Astyanax mexicanus: one gene and its partner. The protein of the gene in region 2 purifies or fractionates together with the protein of the main gene of each other region. This does not show direct contact. Links are inferred from orthologs where the notes say so. Each region holds a gene or a part of one and is shown on either strand. Other genes may lie near its edges.

The links. Proteins that work in one complex are often made in the same cells at the same time.
Region 1: the proteins of iars1 (region 2) and lars1b purify together in Homo sapiens (affinity purification with mass spectrometry; 7 studies listed by BioGRID and IntAct, counting the BioPlex papers as one, with this or other methods). This does not show direct contact. The link is inferred for Astyanax mexicanus from reciprocal best matches to the Homo sapiens genes IARS1 and LARS1.

The regions. Positions count from the first base shown.
Region 1 is NC_064424.1:21,486,651-21,493,745, forward strand, and holds the start of lars1b (leucine--tRNA ligase, cytoplasmic), read right to left. Parts: upstream 3,071-7,095; 5' UTR 2,961-3,070; coding exon 2,955-2,960; intron 1,660-2,954; coding exon 1,538-1,659; intron 1,456-1,537; coding exon 1,368-1,455; intron 1,247-1,367; coding exon 1,166-1,246; intron 1-1,165. Other genes in the region: rbm27 (RNA-binding protein 27), read left to right, coding at 4,469-4,527. UniProt on the Homo sapiens protein: Aminoacyl-tRNA synthetase that catalyzes the specific attachment of leucine to its cognate tRNA (tRNA(Leu)).
Region 2 is NC_064431.1:13,417,315-13,424,447, forward strand, and holds the start of iars1 (isoleucine--tRNA ligase, cytoplasmic), read left to right. Parts: upstream 1-4,110; 5' UTR 4,111-4,129; intron 4,130-6,331; exon of another isoform or gene 6,332-6,410; intron 6,411-7,133. UniProt on the Homo sapiens protein: Catalyzes the specific attachment of an amino acid to its cognate tRNA in a 2 step reaction: the amino acid (AA) is first activated by ATP to form AA-AMP and then transferred to the acceptor end of the tRNA.

The sequences.
Region 1 (7,095 bases), on a different chromosome or scaffold from region 2:
CAGGATTAAAGCAAAATAAATTATACTGGACAGATATAACCTGTCTCTAGTAGATATATAATGGGAAATGAGAACAGTGTGCATTTTTGTTTTGCTAAAAACAGCAAAAAAGGTAGTTCCCTGATCAGGGTTCTTTCTCCAGTTTTAAAGTCAAATTTAATGCGTTTTAAGATCTTTTTAAGACCCCAATAAATATAATTTAATGCCCAAAAATGTAGTCATAACTTCTTAAGTAGAAAATAAATTCTTATATTGAAAATTAAAACGTAACATTTGCCATTTGTTATAAATTTTCTTTTTCAATTTTGTTTGATTGTGCTGTAGAACATGTTAGCATGTTTGCTAACTCACCCCTGATGTTAGCTAGCTCTCCGCTAACCCTAGTTTTCTCCCCAGTAACAAAGCTAACTCCCCGCTAACGTTAGTATGTTATCTAGCTCGTCGCTAATGTTAACTCTGCTAACCTTAGTTCTCTCCCCGTTAAGGTTAATGTTAGCTAGATCTACGCTAATGTTAGCTAGCTTTACGCTAGCTTTCCTCTCCAGTAACATTAGCTAGCTCTCAGCTAACCTTATTTCTCTCTCCAGTAACTCACCGGTAATGTTAGTATGTGCTTTCCCACTGGCATTAAATGCACCATCTAAAAATGTATACCTAAAGCAAATTTACAGTAACTTAAGACAATTTAAGACCTTAATTATTAAGATTTTAATTTAATACATTTTAAGATTTTTTTTAAGGACCCGTGGGAACCCTGCTGATGTGATAATTAGGGGTGAGTGATTTGATAGGATATTTCAGGGTATAATATCGTTCACGACATTCAAAAATATGACACACCCCTAGATGTAATGGTATTATTATGCCATAATGTTATCATAACATGAATGATATCGATAACATAATGTATTGTAATAGATTCAAGGACCATATATTGTCTGCAAAAATTAGTTATTTTGACTGGCCTAAACGAAACCGAAACTTTTACCTCAGAAAGTATGTTCTGTATAAGACACTATTTGCACTTAGAAAATCAACATCACATGTAATCTGACAAGGGGTGCACAACAATTTTCACAAGACTGAGTGAACATACATATACACACACACACACACACACATTTATTTTTTAAAAACACTTTAAAGACGGATGGCCCCCACTTACTTTGATGGGCATTCCTGTGCAGTGCAGTCCGAATGGGAACAAGCATCGCTTTCCTTTCAAACGCTGGTACCCCATCGAAAACTACAGAAATCACATTGTATTAAACGTCAGCCATTAAGGATAACATACATTTGCACACATTTACATTAAAAGATTCATCATCAAACTTTTGTTCTATAGTATAACTGGCCAGCAGACTTACCTCACACTTGGAAAGGCAGAACGTGTGGCCCAGATGCAGCCTCCCATTCATGTAGGGGTAAGGGAAGGTAACAAAGTACTTGTTTTTACTGTAAAACAAAGAACAAAAAAAAGATTATTGATCATATTTTAGACTATATTTTCTCAATAAAACAAGCAAACCAAACTCACTTCTTAATCTCCTCAGCTGTGGTCAGCGCATCACACTCAAAGGCCTTTTCCTTCTCCCATTTCTGCTGGATATCCTGCTCAATCTTCCTCAAGAAGTCGAGCTTTGCTGTTCCTTTTCTTTCCTGGAGTGATCAATAAACACAAAATGTAGATGAAGAAGCCCAAAAGAGACAACTGATTCCGCCAATATAAATTATAAAAATGTGTTTGTGACATTTAAATACCCACTATTAAATACTTAGTCATAAAAAGAAAAAGTGTGATTCACAGATCTATGTTGTGATTAATCAGAATTTTTTTTATTCATTGACAGCTCTAATATTTATATCTACGAAAAAGAATCTGAAATACAGCAAGGCTTATTTCAGCAAGTCTCAAGCCTAGCAGATTTCAAATGAAAAAAAATAGAAAAAAATTAAGATGAACAAACTATTATGTGTACAAATATAATACAATAAAAAATGGGTAGAGGTTAAATTAATGTGTTAGTAAATTGTGAAAAATATTTATAACAAACTTAATATTAAGATTACATTTTATTGTCTTAGAAATTAGATTAGTCATATTATTATCATACTATTGTCATTAAGCGAACATTTAAGGATTTTCCTTAAGAAAGCCCTTACATAACAATTAAGGTACTTTTTCCTTAAAAAGACGCCCATCTTTAAGGGAATGTTCAGGGCAATCTTAAAGGAAAACACTAAGCTAGATGTTTTATGCAACCGGCCACCGGGGTGTTGTGTAGAGTTATTCTACCCATCGATGCGTGCACTGCGCATGCGCTGAACTACACTTTAAAATTATTTATCGTGTTTTTTTATTAAAGTTAATGAATCTGTTACAAAATATTACAAAATTGTAATAACCTCTCTTTGCCATAACTTCACAATGATACAGTAATTTATGCTATCCAAATATACTAGCTAGCTAGCTAGCTACATATAGTATGACTTATACTGGAAAGATGCTGTAATATAGTGTTTCTTTTGTGCTTTTCCAGTTAAATATACACTATGGAAGCACGGTTTGACAAGGTAGCACAATTCGACAGAACACCGGTCACTGCTCTGTGAGTGACAGCTGTAGCTTCTCTCTTTAGCTGAAAGCAATAAACAGGCTTCTTTCACAAATAATAAAACACAGTTAAAAGACAACTGACCTAACTTAGCTAAGAAACATTTAAACACTTGTAACATAACATTCAGAACAGCAATAAATAGAGTTGATCAGAAATGAAACACTGATACAAAGTTAGCACAGAAGCTATTTAGCTAGCTAGGTTAACAGCTAGCTTTAGGGTTACTCTTAGCATGAGAGTTGATTAGGATGACTTCGAGGTTCAGCTTTCACTGTAGCAGAAGGTACAGAGTGTATTTACAGTTTTTCATGTGTGTACAGAAAACGCCAGACCTACCGTCATCCTGCTCTTTAATGTAGGAACAACTTTTCACTGCACAATCAGACTGGAGACCCACGCCGCCGCCGGCTCCTGCACAGAGCTGATGACACCTTCAGCAAGAGACCGCTGAGCACTGAGCATTCTGGGAAGTGTAGTTCTACTCATGGCCACGTGAAGAAGTTACGCACAGCAGTAGGTTAACCTACGTCCACCAGCGCAGAAACGACACACTGGAGCCCCTAACTGTAAACTGTGATAATATGGGGTCATAATAAACGTGATTTAAAGCTGTTTATTAAAGGTGTCAGTTTGTAAACATTAACTGTTTAAGCGCAGCCTTGCAGCATGTTTATGGTTTCAACAGTGGTTTCCAATTAGTGACGGAAAGTTTGAATCACTGAATCGATTCTTTCGACGTTCGCCCGCTTTAACGAATCTAAGTATTTGCAACAGTCTATGATTTGCAAGAAATACAGCTCTGGAAAAAAGTGACCACTTAAGTTTCTGAATCAGTCTTTCTGATTTTGCTATTTATATGTATACGTTTGAGTACAATGAACATTGTAGTTTTATTCTATAAACTACGGACAACATTTCTCCCAAATTCCAACTAAAAATATTGTCATTTAGAGCATTTATTTGTAGAAAATGAGAAATGGCTGAAATAACAAAAAAGATGTAGAGCTTTCAGACCTTAAATAATGCAAAAAATAAATAAATAAATATCATATTAAAAAGTTTTAAGCGTTCAGAAATCAATATTTGTCAGAATAACCCTGTTTTTTTATGTTTTCATGCATCTTGGCGTGTTCTCCTCCACCAGTCTTACACACTGCTTTTGGATAACTTTATGCCACTCCTGGTGCAAAAAATCAAGCAGTTCAGCTTGGTTTTGTGGCTTGTGATCATCCATCTTCCTCTTAATTATATATTTCAGAGGTTTTCAATTTTTGTAAAATCAAGTGGTCACTTTTTTATTTATTTTTTTTATTAAAATATTATTGTCATTTTAGGACCATATTATGCCACTGACCTAATCAGTATAATAATGCATTTGCACATTTTTTTTTCAAATAATGACAGTTTAACCATTAAGAATATTTAGACAATTTAAATAAAATATATTAATGTAATACAACGTAAATAATGTGCAACATTAAGGTCAGAAAATACTTTTTTATGTCTATATAAAATACGGTAAGATGTTAAAACGTATTCTACTTATTGTGACAGATTCAGTTGCTTGAAAATGCTAGAAAATAGCTTTGTCAAAGTAAAACTATGAATCGTCTTGAAAAGAATCGGATCAGTAAAGCTGATTCGTTGGTTTGTGAGTCGGACCTCGCTGTTTCCAGTGTGTTTGAACCAATGAGTCTATTGGTTTGAACGGAGCTAGTGCAGTTCGTCAGACGGTCGAGTGATTAAGAGGAGGCCCATGTTGAATTAACGTTATTTCTGTAGAGGATGAAAGTAGGAATAGCGCTGACAAAAAACCCACGTCTAGTCAGTGTTGTTCGGTGCTCGGCACGATGATTATAGATAATGTGGACGCTCTGAAGTCATGGCTGGCTAAACTCCTCGAGCCGATGTAAGTGAGCACTGGGAATGACATTTTTAGCATAGCCTAGCCTAGCTTCCACTTGCTAGCGCTTTCGCTCGTTAGCTTGATAGTTAGTTAGCTAGCCTGAAGCGGGCTATGTTAGTTAGCTAACACACACACTTGTATGTTTTAGCGCTTATTTATTAGTCTGTACTGACATTCGCTTTTAAAGCGAGATTGTAAAAACCCTGAATAACTGTTTTCATGGCCCACAGTGTGTCACTTTCTGCACTTTTCAGTAGCCTGAAGCTAGCTTACCCAGCTAAGCTAAGCTAAGCTAGCCCATAGACTGTACTGTTGATATCCAGGCAGCAGCGCGAGGGGTCCCACTCTGGCTAGGCCAAGAGAGGGCCAAATGAGCAGGTCCTTTAGTTAGTTTGTGAAATTAAATAATTTGGGCGAATCTTTTTTTTCCTAAATGCTGGAGCCCAGAAACATTTGCCTAAATGGTAGAATGCCACTAGAACGGTGTTATTCAGATTTTGGCTGAATTGTGGAATGGAGCCCAGGAATATTTATGTAATATGTGCGTTGCAAATATATTTGGCTAATAAAACTCAGTTACATGCACAAACTTTTGGCTAGCTAAATGGAGGGATACACAATATTTTTGGTTATTGAAGATGTGTCCAAAAGCTTTTGGCAAATTGTTCTAGTTCAGAAACGTTTCGTTAAATGGTTAAATAGCATTAGAACTGTGGTAAATAGCCTAATGTTGGTGTCCAAGAAAAATTGGCTAATTGGTCAAATAAAGCACAAGAACATTTGAAAAATATGCTGCCTGCAGGTATATTTGGCTAAAAGAACTATGTCCACAAACTTTTGGCTAGGTAAATGGAAGAATACACAATACTGTTGGTGGTTATTGGAGATGTTGTCAAAAGCCATTGTTCAGAATAATTTGGTTAAATGGTGAGAGACAGAGCTCTGTCCACAAGCTTTTCTTTTACTCAATACTGACGTCCAGAAACATTTGGCTTAATGGTAAATTAGCATTACGGTGGTAACTGTTGTAACTAGCTTGTTAAGCTTTTGGCTAAATGTTGGTATCCAAAATATATTGGCTCAATGTTACATTTGCAAAATATTTGGCCTTCAGAAATATTTGGCTTATAGAGCTATGTCCACAAACCTTTGGCTAGCTAAATGGTGGAATACATTACATATTGTTAATGGCGATGTGTCCACAAGCTTTTGGCAAATTGAGTCTAGAAACATTTGGCTAAATGGTAAAATACCATTAGAAATGTGTTTATAAGATTTTGGCTAAATGGTGGATTGGAGCCCAAAAACATTTGCATAATATGTGGACTACAGATAGCTTGGCTAAAAGAGCTATGTCCACAAACCTTTGGCTAGCTAAATGGTGGAATGCATAAAATATGGTTAATGAAGATGTGGCCTCAAGCTTTTTGACAAATTGTTTAAGTCCAGAAGCTTTTGGTAAAATGTTGGAACGCAAGAATTTTTTCAAACATTTGGCTAAATGGTTTAATGCCATTAGAACTGTTATTTAGATTTTGTCTGAACTGTAAAATGGAGACCAGGAATATTGGTATAATATGTGGACTGCAGATATATTTGGCTAATAGAGCTATGTCCACACACTTGGCTAGCTAAATGGTGGAATACATTACATATTGTTAATGGCGATGTGTCCACAAGCTTTTGGCAAATTGAGTCTAGAAACAATTGACTCAATGGTAAAATACCATTAGAAATGTGTTTATTAGATTTTGGCTAAATGGTGGATTGGAGCCCAAGAACATTTGCATACTATGGACTACAGATATGCTTGGCTAAAAGAGCTATGTCCACAAACCTTTGGCTAAATTGTGGAATGCACTATATTTGTTAATATTAATAGAGATGTGGCAAGTCCAGAAGCTTTTAACGCGTTTAATGTTGAAATACAACAACCTTTGCATACATTTGGCTAAATAGTCAAATTCAGATATGTTTGGTTGGTGGAGGTCTGTCCACAAACATTTGCCTGAAAGTCCAAAACCATTCCAAACATCAAGTTTTGGCAGTGCTGGTATACAAAGTTTGAATGGTAAAATGCAGATTTTCTAACAAACAAAGTTTTGTCCACCAGTATTTGTTTTTATTTTTTATTTTCATTGTGCAAAACATTGGCCAAATAAGGTAACTAGTTGGTCCAAAAGCTGCTCAGACATTCATTTTGAGGAACGCTGAAAAAGAAGGCTGTGCATGTTCTCTCAGTTGGAGTGTGGGGAAAAATAGTGATGATTTTACAAAAAAAAAAAAAAAAACATTTGACTGAATGATGTAATGCATATATTTTGACCAATACAGCTGTGTCCACAAGCGTTTGGTTAAATGTTGGAATACAATAACCTTTGCATACATTTGGCTAAATGGTATGTGTAATGCTGTTTATTCCTGTGGAAGTTCTTACAAGAATCGTAAATCGTTAGATCATAAATCATAAACCTAAGCTGTCATCTTTAAAATTGCAATGGATTTACTGTTTGTAGCTCAGAAAGTGTGGAATGTAATAAAAAAAAGCCCACTGGTTGAGTTTTCAAAATG
Region 2 (7,133 bases):
TTCTTGAAATATTGCTTTTAAACATGCTTTTAAAATGTCACATGAGTTTTGGTAACAGGACTGAGAACAATGTAACCATCTTCAGATTAGGAACCTTGTAAAAAAAATAATTAAAGCTGCCTGTGTTTGATCAGTCTATGTTTTGAATAGTTAAATATATGTGTTATTAGAATCAGAGTCCAAAAAAAAAACACTATTTGAAAGAGTTACAACAAGCAAATGGCACCCATTTGGTGGAATGGCCCTTAAGGTTCTTCGGTGTCCCAGGAGGTTAATTAGTTGATAAGTTGATATGTCACAGATGTGTTTTTTTTTGTATAGTTGTTGCTCAGTGAGTGTTATAGTTTTACTAATGTGTTCATTGGTGGTTGCTAGGGTGTTTGCATACTGTCTTTCAGGTGGTGGTATGGTATTTAGATTATGCTAAGTGAATGGTATGATGTGGCTAAAATGTTTCTTGGGGGCTGCTATAAGGTTGATATGGTTCATCACAGGGTTTTAATGGTGTCCCAGATGGTTACTATGGTGGTTACGATGATATTTAAGCTATTGCTTAGAGGATGCTGTGACATTGGTAAGGTGCATAAAACTATATGCAGTAGGAAGAGCTTTCATTTATAAAGCACTTTAACTTTGGATCAACTAATATACAGGATTCAGACATACTCTCAGTCTTTAAATTTAGACTTAAAACATTTCTCTTTTGGATAATTTCTCATCATAATGGTTCTCTATTTTTTTTCCCCCATTTTCTCCCCAATTCACATGGCCAATAACCCAACCCACGCATTAGGATTCCTCCTATTACAAGTGATGCCAAAACACCAGGAGGTTAAAGACTAACACAAGCCTCTACCGACACATGTGAATTCTTTTTGAACTGCTGCTGATGCAGCATTGCCAAATAGCATCACAGCACGAAAGCACAGCGACTTGGTTCTGATACATCAGCTCACAGACGCCTCATGCTGCAGACATCACCCTTTGAAGTAATATGGGGAGAGAGCGCCATCTACCCACCCAGAGATAGCAAGGCCAATTGTTCTCTCTCGGGGCTCCGGTAGCTGATGTCAAGCTACATGAACAGGATTCAAACCAGCAATCTCCTGATCATAGTGACAGCACTTAGCCCGCTGGAGCACTCGTAGCATAATGGTTCTCTATAGCCTGCAGCCATACTATTACTGTCCTGTAATTTCTCTGATTACAAGAAGTAAGTCATTACTGTTGTCGTCCCTCTCACTATTCCTCTTACAGCTCACACTCCAAACATAAACCTCCTAATGTCCTGAGCTGCTGCCTCGAGGTGTCCATCCATAGTCAACCCAATCCCTTTTTCTTTCCTCCCCCTCTTTTCTCTCTCTCTCTCTGTCTCTTACATGTGTAGAGATGTCCGGCGATCTGCCTGGATGTGTCCATTTGTGGTTTAATTTTGTGACTTTTGTGGTGTTTGGTATGTTGCTTGTGTTGTTAAGTGAGTGTTACCTGTAAGGGTGGGTGCTATAGTACTTTAGATGATTGGAAAGGTGTTGCTAAGTGGGTGCTATTGTATTTCTCGGTGGCTTGCTATGGTACTCATTACCAGTCATTATGGTGCTGGTTGCTATGGTGGTCATAGAGGTGTTAAAGCCCCTGATTTTTGCTGACTTCACCCTCACCTCAAAAGGCTAAAAAAATGGGAGGGCTAATTTTGGATGGGCATTGAGTGATGTATGGGTTTAGAGGCAGAGCAGGAGGAAGAGCTGATTGGCTGAGCTGCAGCAGCAGCAGTGTGCCTCTGATAGTGGTGAGGACCCATAAGGATAGACATAAGGATGATTGTGATGTTTTTGCATACCAAAGTAGAGGGAAACATTATCCTCACCTATAGCACAATTGAACCTGAGAGGACACTGCAGAGGTGAAAATGACCACCATAAAAAGCGTTTTTTAAAGGTTAGGAAATGTTCATAAAAATTATGTTATATTACTTAAAGGGACACATTTTAGCTATTTATGGAAAAAATATGGTTTAGAAAAGTGGCTTTAGTGGGTCTTTAATGGTTTTTGTCTATTTTTTTTCCCCCATTTTCTCCCCAATTCACATGGCCAATAACCCAACCCACGCATTAGGATTCCTCCTATTACAAGTGATGCCAAAACACCAGGAGGTTAAAGACTAACACAAGCCTCTACCGACACATGTAAATTCTTTTTGAACTGCTGCTGATGCAGCATTGCCAAATAGCATCACAGCACGAAAGCACAGCGACTTGGTTCTGATACATCAGCTCACAGACGCCTCATGCTGCAGACATCACCCTTTGAAGTAATATGGGGAGAGAGCGCCATCTACCCACCCAGAGATAGCAAGGCCAATTGTTCTCTCTCGGGGCTCCGGTAGCTGATGTCAAGCTACATGAACAGGATTCAAACCAGCAATCTCCTGATCATAGTGACAGCACTTAGCCCGCTGGAGCACTCGTAGCATAATGGTTCTCTATAGCCTGCAGCCATACTATTACTGTCCTGTAATTTCTCTGATTACAAGAAGTAAGTCATTACTGTTGTCGTCCCTCTCACTATTCCTCTTACAGCTCACACTCCAAACATAAACCTCCTAATGTCCTGAGCTGCTGCCTCGAGGTGTCCATCCATAGTCAACCCAATCCCTTTTTCTTTCCTCCCCCTCTTTTCTCTCTCTCTCTCTCTCTCTGTCTCTTACATGTGTAGAGATGTCCGGCGATCTGCCTGGATGTGTCCATTTGTGGTTTAATTTTGTGACTTTTGTGGTGTTTGGTATGTTGCTTGTGTTGTTAAGTGAGTGTTACCTGTAAGGGTGGGTGCTATAGTACTTTAGATGATTGGAAAGGTGTTGCTAAGTGGGTGCTATTGTGTTTCTCGGTGGCTTGCTATGGTACTCATTACCAGTCATTATGGTGCTGGTTGCTATGGTGGTCATAGAGGTGTTAAAGCCCCTGATTTTTGCTGACTTCACCCTCACCTCAAAAGGCTAAAAAAATGGGAGGGCTAATTTTGGATGGGCATTGAGTGATGTATGGGTTTAGAGGCAGAGCAGGAGGAAGAGCTGATTGGCTGAGCTGCAGCAGCAGCAGTGTGCCTCTGATAGCGGTGAGGACCCATAAGGATAGACATAAGGATGATTGTGATGTTTTTGCATACCAAAGTAGAGGGAAACATTATCCTCACCTATAGCACAATTGAACCTGAGAGGACACTGCAGAGGTGAAAATGACCACCATAAAAAGCGTTTTTTAAAGGTTAGGAAATGTTCATAAAAATTATGTTATATTACTTAAAGGGACACATTTTAGCTATTTATGGAAAAAATATGGTTTAGAAAAGTGGCTTTAGTGGGTCTTTAATGGTTTTTGTACAAGTTTATTCTAAGGAGACTATTTTCTTGCTTTTCAATGGTAATTTTTATTTTGCCACAACAATTTAAAGCAGGAGTGACATCCCTGATAGCACACATGTTTCCAAGCCTCCTAAATCCATTTAAATTGATCATACATTGGTCCTATTATAAAATATACATTTTCCATTAGCACAATAGAAGACTCATGCTTACTTGCCTAAATAACACACAAATGCAACTTTCAAGCCCAAGTTAATACAAAGTGAAAATTATGGGGTTTACTTCCGCTAAGAAAAGATATTCAACTGTAAATAATGTAAATATTTATTCTGTTCAGGACAGTAAATCCTGAAGGCACAGCATGAATCAAGGCTGCTAATTCAAGACCGTGCCTTGGGGTGGGGCTCTTCTGTCACTGCATTAGCTGGGAGCCTTAAAACCAAATGATGATAATCAAATTATCCAGCAGTGCACAATGCACTTGTGGCATGATGTGGCTCACCAGTAGAACGAGATTCAAGTAGTAGAACAAGATTTTCTCACGAGAATTCTTTTGGGTGTGCTAGAAGTGATGCTTATCCAATTCTGTTTCTATTGTTGTGCACTATTTAAGCTTAACACACTGTCACTGATTGGATTCTCACCATAAAGAAGACCATACTGTGGATTTGCGGCAAGCACTTCAATCCAAACCCGGGCAAAAAGCGTCAGTTGTGGCAGGGAAGACAAGCAAGACCTAAACATACACTGTTTTTGGACAGCTTATCATTGGTAAGTTATCTAGAATGTTTTATTTTTTAAGAAGGAAGTCTAGCTTTTTAAGATAGGTATGCCTTATAACTCCTAAACTTACGTTTGTCCAACTGCTGTTGGAAAGTATTATCGTTTAATATTAGACAAATTTAACAAGAGTAAATATAAAAATAACTTTTTAAATAATAATTTCATTTTTTAAGGGACAAAAACTATTTGTGAAAAAGTGTTTGCCCCCCATAGATTAACTATGATTAATCACACTTAACCACAACCAGGCTTGATTACTGCCAGACCTGTAGAATAAAAATCACTTAATTAGAACCTGTCTGACAACATGAAACAGCTAAAATATCTCAAAAAGCAACAGATTATGCTGCAATCAAAATAAATAAACATAAAAGAAAAACATATGAGAAAACAAAGTCACTGACATCTGTCAGTTTAGAAATGATTACAAAGTCCTTTCTAAAGCTTTGAGACTACAACCGACCACAGTGAGAGCTATTACTCACAAATAGAGAAAACATGGAACCACTGGTGAACCCTCCCAGGATTCGGGCCGACCAAAATTATTCCAAAGGAGCATGGACAACTTATCCAGGAGGTCACAAAAAACCCAGAACAACTTTTAAAGAAATGCAGGTCTGACAAAAAATATATCATGATTTTGGAAGAAGATTCTCATACTAAATGTAAAACATGGTGGTGGTAGTAATTCTGCTGTTTACAAGAAAATCCTAAAGTAGAATGTCCAGCCATCTGTTTGTGACCTCAAGCTCAGCTGTACTTGGGTTCTGCGGCAGGACAATGATCCAAAGCACACAAACAAGTCCACCTCTAAAAGGCTTAAAAAACAAAATTAAGATTTTGGAGAAGTCTAGTTAAAGTCTACTTGAGATGCTGTGGATGATCATAAACAGGTGGTTCATGTTGGAAAACCCTCTAATGTGGCTGAATTAAAATAATTCTGTAAAGAATAGTGGAGCCAAAATTCCTCCAGAGAGATGTAAAAGCCCCCCTCCCCCTCCAGTAACCTTCACACACTGGAGTGAACACTGGTTTACATCAGAGCCTTTCACTTCTGCTTTTGAATTTCTCCAAAACAAACTAATACACTAATATAGCTGCAAATAAATGACATAACCTCCTGTACTGAAAAGAGAAGTGTCAGTGTAATCTCTGCTTAAATGCTTGATTGTCTGGCTTGGTCACTTTTAACATGCTTGTTGATCAGCTAAACAATCAAACCCATCACAATACATACCTATTACTGGTCAAAAGCTAAGCTAATCAACTAGTGTAATCTTAGCTTTAGCAGGCCATACTAGTTTTTTAAATGGATATTTAGTGAGTTTATTTTCTTTAAAATTAACTGGGCCTGTCTGTTAGAAATATATACTCCATATATGGGCCATTTTACTCAATTGGTGCGATTTGCTTCTTTTAACTCTTCCAAATTAAACGTAATCTTTTTTCATTTTTACAACTCCGAAACTAATAACATATATTTAACTATTCAAAACATGTACTGGTCAAACTCAGGGAGCTTTATTTATTTGTTTTACAAGGTTTATAATGTGTAGGTTAAACATTTAAAAAGCATGTTTAAATGCAAGTCCACTAATTCCTTGAATTTTCTCTTAAGAAATGGTTGACTGCGTGTTCAACTAATTTATATTTATGCCAAACAAAAAATTACTGTTAATGGCAATTATTCCTGTTACTGGAATTTACTCCTGTTACTGACACTCATTCCTGTTACTTTGTATGTTTTGTGTAACAGGACTGAAAATAACAGGGATGAGTTTTAATACAGAAATAGCAAAAACATTAAAAATAGCTCAATAGCGGCTAATAGCATGAGGACACATTATACATATATATATATATATATATATATATATATATATATATATATATATATATATATATATATATATATATAGAATGTAAAATGTATTGCTGCAAATGTTTAAAATACAATGGCTTTATAACTATGAACTATGTAGTGGAGCTTGACAGTTAGAAATGTTTATATTTCTTTATATTATCAAACTCTTTATACCAAATACTAAGGGGATTAAAAACGCCCAACCCCTGTTGTTATTGTTATATGTAAACAAATACACTTTTTTTAATCACGTGTATATTGGGACTTTTATTTTGAAAAAATCTGCTCCGCGTTATGACGTCCGCTCGTGCTTGCCGCTTAGTTGCATCATTTCCGTATTAGGGCTCCTTCTGCAGCGGCCGGTGAGGAGCAGCGCGTGCGAGTCCTGCAGTCCAAAACACCGCGGTGTGTGTTTACCTTTACCTGTTACCTGTACTCCTTTATAACCCTCATATTACACCTACTAACACCTGCATAACCCCACTTATCACACTGTTCATACCGGAGTGTGTAGAGGATGTGAGTCTCAGTAAGTGAAGTGTGTAGAGAGTGAGTCCCTGTAAGTGAGGTGTGTAGAGAGGGTGAGAGTCTTAGTAAGTGAAGTGTAGAATGTGTGAGTCAGTAAGTGAAGTGTGTAGAGAGTGATTGAGTCTCAGTAATCGAAGTGTGTTGAGAGTGTGTGAGTCTCAGTAAGTGAAGTGTAGAATGTGCGAGTCTCAGTAAGTGAAGTGTGTAGAGAGTATGTGAGTCTCAGGAAGTGAAGTGTGTAGAGAGTATGTGAGTCTCAGGAAGTGAAGTGTGTAGAGAGTGTGTGAGTCTCAGGTAAAGTTTATAAAAAGTATGTGAGTCTCAGTAAGTGAAGTGTGTAGAGAGTATGTGAGTCTCAGTAAGTGAAGTGTGTAGAGAGTGTGTGAGTCTTAGTAAGTGAAGTGTGTGTAAAGTATGTGAGTCTCAGTAGGTGAAGTGTGTAGATAATATGTGATTCTCAGTAAGTAAAGTGTGTAAAAATGTGAGTGTCAGTAAGTGAATGTGTAGAAAGTATGTGAGTCTCAGTAAGTGAAGTGTGTAGAATATGAGAGTCTCAGTAAGTGAAGTGTGTAGAATATGAGAGTCTCAGTAAGTGAAATG